Linked DNA regions of Xenopus tropicalis. The protein of the gene in region 1 purifies or fractionates together with the protein of each later gene. This does not show direct contact. Links are inferred from orthologs where the notes say so. Each region holds a gene or a part of one and is shown in the gene's direction. Other genes may lie near its edges. The genes, in order: cox6b1 and chchd4.

Region 1 (4,446 bases):
TTTAGATATAACGAAAACTGATCGACAAAACTATTGTAACCCTAGACATATTTGATAGCACTGAAATGAAATCAAGAACTTCCAATAGCCATGAATGAGCTCCTCCCATATCCGAGGGACGCCTTGTACAACTACATCTTTCATACTCTTACAGATTTAGATTCTACAACTTTGAGACTCAAATAAATGTACCAGTAGTCGCCTGCCCTCAGCCTGCCTCCTCCCAATCCCACAATCCCCTGCTGCACACGTGATGTCAATAAGGAAAGGTACATCACAGTGCCTCCTCCCAATCCCACAATCCCCTGCTGCACACGTGATGTCAATAAGGAAAGGTACATCACAGTGCCTCATCCCAATCCCACAATCCCCTGCTGCACACGTGTTGTCAATAAGGAAAGGTACATCACAGTGCCTCCTCCCAATCCCACAATCCCCTGCTGCACACGTGTTGTCAATAAGGAAAGGTACATCACAGTGCCTCATCCCAATCCCACAATCCCCTGCTGCACACATGTTGTCAATAAGGAAAGGTACATCCCAGTGCCTCATCCCAATCCCACAATCCCCTGCTGCACACGTGATGTCAATAAGGAAAGGTACATCCCAGTGCCTCATCCCAATCCCACAATCCCCTGCTGCACACGTGATGTCAATAAGGAAAGGTACATCACAGTGCCTCATCCCAATCCCACAATCCCCTGCTGCACACGTGATGTCAATAAGGAAAGGTACATCACAGTGCCTCATCCCAATCCCACAATCCCCTGCTGCACATGTTGTCAATAAGGAAAGGTACATCACAGTACAATGCATTGTGGGTTATGTAGTTCCTGTAAAATATGGAGAAGTTGTTACAACTTTCAACATCAGTGTTTTAGTCCCTCCTCCCCTGCCAGGATTTCAAATGATGCAGAAAGAGAAGAACTGTTTTGCAGCTGGATTTCATTTAATAAAAATGCCTTTTATTCATAGTTTTTCAAAGAACAGATTACAGTGCTATGGGGTGTCTGTGTTGTGTGAAACTCTGTAACAAGTTTGGGTACAGAAGCCGCAGTTCCCCTATGAAATGGAGATAACTAGTCAACAGCTTCCGCCCCAAGGCTACGTGCCCGCTTCTCTCACACACAATGGCGCCAACAGCCGACGGTTCAACCAATAAGAGCCTGAGCTCAAACCAACCCTTAGTTAGCCCCGCCAGTCTGGCTTCCCATTCGCTACTGCGCTTGACTCCTTAGCCCCGCCCATACGTGACCTCATCACGCTGGACGCGCAGGTACTTACTGCCCTTCCTGCTGGTGCCCTTAGTGTATGCCTGTGACGTACATCCGGCCTCATAGCCGCATTTCCGTAGCTGGGTAGAAGTGACATTGAGGAAGACGAACTCGAGGTGAGAGTGTGGCGGCCCCGGGCTCCGGGCTGGGGAGGCCGAGAGGGAAAGGGCAGTGGTGGGAGTAACATAGGACGGGATAAGTGTCGGTGTGAGGGGGCTGGGCTGGGGCGCAGCTTGTCTGAACGGATAAACGAGGTGCTTGGAAGGCGCGGTGATCCTGGGAGAAACCATTCCTTGGTGGGGGGGGGGCGATATGGTATATATATCCCACAACCTTCCTGCTAGGCTTCCCTTGCTGTCCAATTAGGTTACTGGTAGGGGCCCTCGGCCTAGTTATCGCCCATTGGTATTACAGGGGCTGCTGGGTACTGTAGTGAGGGTTGGCCCTACGTGCTGTCACTGTGCTACACCCACACTGCAGCCTTCTTGCATTCCAATTAAAGGGCAACACACCCTGCAACTCTAAGATATATTAATGCATTCGCAATGGAAAGCAGTATCTGGCTTTTTATACTCTCTGCACTGCTGGTTCTGACTCCCAGCTTCTGCTGATGATGAGACCTGTAACTGATGTCTGCTACATTGTTTCAGGAGTCAGAACCAGAGAACAGAAATGGGGTGGAAAAAAAAAATACTGACTAATGCCCAAGTTTAATATGTGTAATGCCCGGCAGCTGTGCCTCTTACATGGGACCCTCGGCCTCTGGGTAATTCTTCCGAGGGTTTGACTGGTTATTCCTTTGAAAAAAGTAGCAGGGTCAAAGTTTATATGGTGGTGTGGGTGGAATTGCCTATAAAGGTGGCAGTTGGTTCAGGTGACAGGTAGGTAGGTGCACGTTACTTGTGGCTATAGAACCAAAAGGGGGAATTAAATAAAGTTCAAATGGGAATTGTCTTCTAGAAAAGTTAGTTGTAAGTCAGACTTCCCCTTTATTGCCCTTACTGATAATCCCACTATGGGAAATGACAGTGGGTGTTTGTCACCTTGTAACTAGGTGACCTGTATGACCAGGCGTGAAACATACGTGTGCAGTTCATCCCCGTGTCTGGGTTTATAAGGGTTTGTTAAACTGTCACCTTTCCCACAGAAGCTTCTCGTCTTTTGTCGACTGGGAGGAAATTTATTCTGCAGTTTATTAGAACGGAGCCGCCCTGAGAAGTTTCGTCTGATTTAATAGACTGGGGAGGGAATTTGGGCTTCAAGGCTCTATCATTTATACCAAGTAGGGCTTTTTTACTTATGGTCCTTCCGCTGTTGTTCAACTGCAACTTGTAGACTTGTCTGATACTAATATAGCTCTTATCCCACTGCCAGACATCCTTCCCATAGGCTATAGGCACCATCTCTCCCTACTATACCTGCTATCCCACAGCCCCAGTCCCTTCCCAGAGGCTATTATCCCCCACTGCTACTATAGGCACCATCTCTCCCTACTATACCTGCTATCCCACAGCCCCAGTCCCTTCCCAGAGGCTATTATCCCCCACTGCTACTATAGGCACCATCTCTCCCTACTATACCTGCTATCCCACAGCCCCAGTCCCTTCCCAGAGGCTATTATCCCCCCACTGCTACTATAGGCACCATCTCTCCCTACTATACCTGCTATCCCACAGCCCCAGTCCCTTCCCAGAGGCTATTATCCCCCCACTGCTACTATAGGCACCATCTCTCCCTACTATACCTGCTATCCCACAGCCCCAGTCCCTTCCCAGAGGCTATTATCCCCCACTGCTACTATAGGCACCATCTCTCCCTACTATACCTGCTATCCCACAGCCCCAGTCCCTTCCCAGAGGCTATTATCCCCCCATTGCTACTATAGGCACCATCTCTCCCTACTATACCTGCTATCCCACAGCCCCAGTCCCTTCCCAGAGGCTATTATCCCCCCACTGCTACTATAGGCACCATCTCTCCCTACTATACCTGCTATCCCACAGCCCCAGTCCCTTCCCAGAGGCTATTATCCCCCCGCTGCTACTATAGGCACCATCTCTCCCTACTATACCTGCTATCCCACAGCCCCAGTCCCTTCCCAGAGGTTATTATCCCCCCACTGCTACTATAGGCACCATCTCTCCCTACTATACCTGCTGTCCCACAGCCACAGTCCCTTCCCAGAGGCTATTATCCCCCCACTGCTACTATAGGCACCATCTCTCCCTACTATACCTGCTATCCCACAGCCCCAGTCCCTTCCCAGAGGCTATTATCCCCCCACTGCTACTATAGGCACCATCTCTCCCTACTATACCTGCTATCCCACAGCCCCAGTCCCTTCTCAGAGGCTATTATCCCCCCACTGCTACTATAGGCATCATCTCTCCCTACTATACCTGCTATCCCACAGCCCCAGTCCCTTCTCAGAGGCTATTATCCCCCCACTGCTACTATAGGCACCGTCTCTCCCTACTATACCTGCTATCCCACAGCCCCAGTCCCTTTCCAGAGGCTATTATCCCCCCACTGCTACTATAGGCACCATCTCTCCCTACTATACCTGCTATCCCACAGCCCCAGTCCCTTCCAGAGGCTATTATCCCCCCACTGCTACTATAGGCATCATCTCTCCCTACTATACCTGCTATCCCACAGCCCCAGTCCCTTCCAGAGGCTATTATCCCCCCACTGCTACTATAGGCATCATCTCTCCCTACTATACCTGCTATCCCACAGCCCCAGTCCCTTCTCAGAGGCTATTATCCCCCCACTGCTACTATAGGCACCATCTGTCCCTACTATACCTGCTATCCCACAGCCCCAAGCCCTTCTCAGAGGCTATTATCCCCCCACTGCTACTATAGGCACCATCTGTCCCTACTATACCTGCTATCCCACAGCCCCAGTCCCTTCCCAGAGGCTATTATCCCCCCACTGCTACTATAGGCACCATCTCTCCCTACTATACCTGCTATCCCACAGCCCCAGTCCCCTTCCCAGAGGCTATTATCCCCCCACTGCTACTATAGGCACCATCTCTCCCTACTATACCTGCTATCCCACAGCCCCAGTCCCCTTCCCAGAGGCTATTATCCCCCCACTGCTACTATAGGCACCATCTCTCCCTACTATACCTGCTATCCCACAGCCCCAGTCCCCTTCCCAGAGG
Region 2 (4,457 bases), on another chromosome or scaffold:
AAAAGAAAACTCCCTGCGTTGACAGATCTGAACATAATCATCTACCCATGAAGCACGTTTGGAGAGATAATTGTACCTGTTGCCTTAAGTCCTGTGATTAATAAAAGGCAGTTATTACCATGATGCTACTTGGAAACAGCAATTGTGCTTCCAAACTAACACACCCTGCCTATATGTAAGTATTCTGCTCAATTTATTTTTCTATAAATATTTATTTAAACCTGATTATGCGCTGTTCTGAGGCCTTCTACCTGCATAGCTGCATTTATATTCAAATATGTTTCAGCATAGTACACAAGCTCGGCGTAACCAAACATTAACTTTGTAAAGAAATTGCTCAGACATAGTAGTATACGTGCTTTAATCAACAATACATGCCATGCAGCACATTTTGTGCTCTCAGTTCATAATTGGTCAGTACAGGTGATTTGAAGTACAAGCCCAATTAATAGTGACTATCAATGGCATCTTACAGCAGCCCTTTGGCATTGGCCAGAATGGACAAATTGCCAGTCCAGGACACAAAATGTGTCATATTCAGAGCTGTCAAACCCGGGAGATTGTTTCCCAGGGGCAGAGACAAACTCAATTGACCACCAATGAATTAAAAAACTTAAGGTAAATTCCACTGCCCCCAATGAGCTGACTGACTTATTAGCACATTAATTATTCATTTTAACTATTAATATGCCCTGCTTATTATAGAGGGACATCAGCTGTTTATGTTGGAAGCTATTTTACTGAATTATATAGTATCTCCTACATGAACTTTGCAGCGGGGGAACTTGTTCCTTACCCTGCAAGAAAAGCCATTTTTTTTAGTGTAGACTAGAGTCTGCTTAATAAAGTACGTTAGGGGCGCAAGCACTATGAAGTGCTGGACATTAACAAACTTTTTTTAAACTCTTTATTTAAGTTTTCAAGATTGCATCAAAATCTAGCATTAGTACAATACCAATACTGAGCTTTACTTATAATGTTTACAAGATTTTTTTTTTTTCAACATCATGAACCAGGGGGAAAGGGAAAGGGAAAAAGGGAAACGTAAATAAATGTTATTAATAATAATAATAATAATAATAAATAAAAGGATAATGTGATGAGAACAATGTGCAATAGGCTAGGAGTCTTAATTGGCATTAACACAATTTTTTAGCCCTACAGTTATTACTGCATTTGTTTCACACTATAAAACATATGGTGGCACCTTGGGGTTACTATTACAGTAATGTTACAGGATGTATATGGAAATGAAAGTCACTTACATGTCCCTTCATCCTGGCTGCCTTAGGATGATAAACTTTTCCGCAGACGCTCTCTACTTTATCTCCTACCAGAACTTCTTGCTACAAAGTTGCCTCCCTGACACGTCAGTACATTCTGCGCATGCGTAGCTGGCCTTCCGCGCAGTGTCACGGGAAATGTAGTTTTTAACGCCTCCCTGGTTCTATTCAGTGGCGCTTATTGTCAGTAATATCCTATGAGCTATACTACGCATGGAGACTAGGGTGGAATTGGTGAGGGTGGAGGTTATGAATTACTGTCAGGCAGCTAGGAGGGCAGGCCTATGTGCGGGGTCCTCTGTGTGAGTCGCGCAGTGTGACGTGATTGGTGTGCGCAGGCGGTGCTGTGCCGGGCGCCGTGTTGTGGAGCTGCAGCCATGTCCTACTGCAGGCAGGAAGGTGAGTGGGAATGTGCCCGGGGTACGGGGTGGGAGCCGAGCTGCCTGTGTCACAGGGGGACTGGGCCAGAGAAGAGCTGCAATGGGGGCAGCCTGGCAGTAAGGAGAACTGGAGGGGAGAGAGGCCGCACAAAGTGACAGAGGGCACAGGGACACAGGGGCTGGGCATGGAACCGAACCCTGAGGGTTATACAAGGGAAAACCTGGCCTCGGAGTTCCTTAAAGGGACAGTATCCCCTGCTAAGGCTCTCTGCTGCCTGCAATGAGTTCGCTATTTGCAAGGTCATTGGGAACTTATGTCTGTTTGAGCCTCTTAGTGGGGATCTAAACCCAAGGAAATGGATTACTGGAAACTTACCCAGGGTCCTCCTCTGAACTCTTTAGCATTTAACAGTCATTTTCTCTACGTCTGGGCTCATTAGATCAATGTCAGCAACCCAGGGGGCAGTTTAACTATGAAGGCATGGCATAGGCATACATTAGCTTTCTATTTGGATATAGATCCCTTTTAATTGTATAAAGCATGTGTTATTTATTGCAGAATTCTGCTTCTAAAATCAGGGCAAAGGGTTTATGTCTATGTATGTATGTATAACTTTATTTATAAAGCGCCACAAGGGTATGCAGCGCTGTACAATCTTACAATATACAGAATTACACACAGGGAGGACAAGTGATATAATAAATAAATACAATAAATATATATAAATGCACAGGGAATAAGTGCCATGTGGTATGAGACACAGTAGGAAGGAGGTCCCTGCTCCGTAGAGCTTACAATCTAACATACAGGCACAAACTGGAAGGTTAGAGTGCACCAGGTATGGGCATTGTAATATTCAATGTAAAAGTGTGATTGCTATTCTATGTATTTGTACAATATATATATTTATATCAAACCAATTATTGCTGAAATGTCAAATAATAGACTGCAGTTGTGTTATACTGATTGGTCTGTGTTCATTTTTGAAGGCAATTAAACTTTTTTATATGGTATTTACTGTAACCCTGCATTTATTTCATTAGTACAATGGCAAGAATACCATTGCTAGATATTTTAGCACATAAACACTTGCCTTCCTGCAGCAACTTACAAAGCAACTTTAATTTCCTAATACCAAACAATGTGCAGATATCATAGCATAGTAACTATTTTAATTTACAGTTCCCAAATAGAATGGATTGTTGTGATTCTAAAGCCTAATTGTTTCTCATGTACGTTTCAGGAAAGGACAAAATCATTTTTGTAACCAAGGAGGACCATGAAACTCCCAGTAGCGCCGAGCTGATCGCAGATGATCCAAATGACCCTTATGAGGACCATGGTCAGTAAGAGCCAGAGTGTGAGCTGTGTAATAATGCTTGAGCTATAGATAGTAGTGTGTTGCCTGCACTTTACATCAGCTGAGTCTTTGTTCTACAACAACTGCAAGGTCATAGGTGCAAAAGATAATTTTAGAAGCTTTAAGACTTTTCACATAAATCGCCATCATTTCTGATGGGAGCTACATCATGAGTGCAACAGTGGTATAAAAAAAATATTGTCTTATGGAAATCAGTTTGTATTAGATTTCCATGTCATTCTTTAGAGATGAATGGGCGTTTAATTCTTTTATTGTTTTTTATGGGCTATCGGTCATGCTTACGCTGCTCATACTTATGCTGTGCTGGCTCCAACACTCTTGGGGTCTACTTCATGCCTACAGATCAACATATTAAAGGCAAAGTCACACTGTAGTTATCAATGTTAAACAACGAGTGATTTACTGGCATACTTAAAAAAGTATTATGTCTTAATCACTTGTATATTGAAGCACTGCAGTGGCTTCAGGTTGTTATTGCCTATTTTTGTCAGAGTATGAAGTTTAAAGTAATGTGGTGGGGTGCTAGCTCCCTCAGCTGGCCGGAGAGTGAACTGCAGCATCTTAAGAGCAAACAGCAGGCAAATAACATACTGCAAATAATCAATGCTGGTCTTTAAGGGGAGGTATCACAAGAAAAATAAGGAACTTGATGGATATAATCAATTAAAATAATGTACTGTATCTGAAAAGTTACTGTTCACTCTCCCCCTCAGCAATCTGTCTTTATTCAGACAAGGGTCAGTCACATTTTGGTCGATAGGTCAAATATTTCCCTTTGCCTTGACAGTGTATAAAGCTAACTTTCCTTCAAAATAACCAACTCGGACACAAAGCTGCATGTAGAGACAGATTGCTAAAAGGAGGTTAGTGAAGAGTAACTTGATTATTTCAGAGAGGTACATGATTTTACTTGATCATATTCACAAAGTTATTGTTATTGCTTCACATGATTCATCAATATAGTCTCAAAGAAGGAAAAAAAAGGTTATGTTTTAATTAATACTTATAAAACTACCAATTACCTTAGAATTCTATTGTTGTCTCCATTTTAAACCATGAATGTTAAACTAGCCCTTCACTTGCTGATTTTTTTTAATGCTATTTTCACTAATAGGGATTGTTGGCCAATCATGTTTTGTCTTTTAGGCAATGAATACTATTGTACATGATATTGAATTCTGATTCTCCAGTATAATTGCTTTGGGGGCTGACACCCACAGATCTACTGCCATTTTTTTCTAAAGCATTCATTTGGTTGTTTTTGTTTTCCCCCAACCTTTATAAAGTCCATAACAATACAGCACTCAAGCTCAGTGTATTCTTTTATTATTTGCTGCCTCTTGTTTCTATTCAGTATCTGGATGTGGTTCTCATACAGGTGGCCGATGGTTCCAAACAGTTAAATGTGGAAA

What was found.
Region 2: the proteins of cox6b1 (region 1) and chchd4 purify together in Homo sapiens (co-immunoprecipitation; 3 studies listed by BioGRID and IntAct, with this or other methods). This does not show direct contact. The link is inferred for Xenopus tropicalis from reciprocal best matches to the Homo sapiens genes COX6B1 and CHCHD4.

What each region holds. Positions count from the first base shown.
Region 1 is NC_030683.2:124,521,524-124,525,969, forward strand, and holds the start of cox6b1 (cytochrome c oxidase subunit 6B1), read left to right. Parts: upstream 1-1,333; 5' UTR 1,334-1,390; intron 1,391-2,421; exon of another isoform or gene 2,422-2,556; intron 2,557-4,446. UniProt on the Homo sapiens protein: Component of the cytochrome c oxidase, the last enzyme in the mitochondrial electron transport chain which drives oxidative phosphorylation.
Region 2 is NC_030680.2:132,948,456-132,952,912, forward strand, and holds the start of chchd4 (mitochondrial intermembrane space import and assembly protein 40), read left to right. Parts: upstream 1-1,603; 5' UTR 1,604-1,660; coding exon 1,661-1,682; intron 1,683-2,907; coding exon 2,908-3,006; intron 3,007-4,457. Other genes in the region: tmem43 (transmembrane protein 43), read right to left, coding at 1,266-1,277.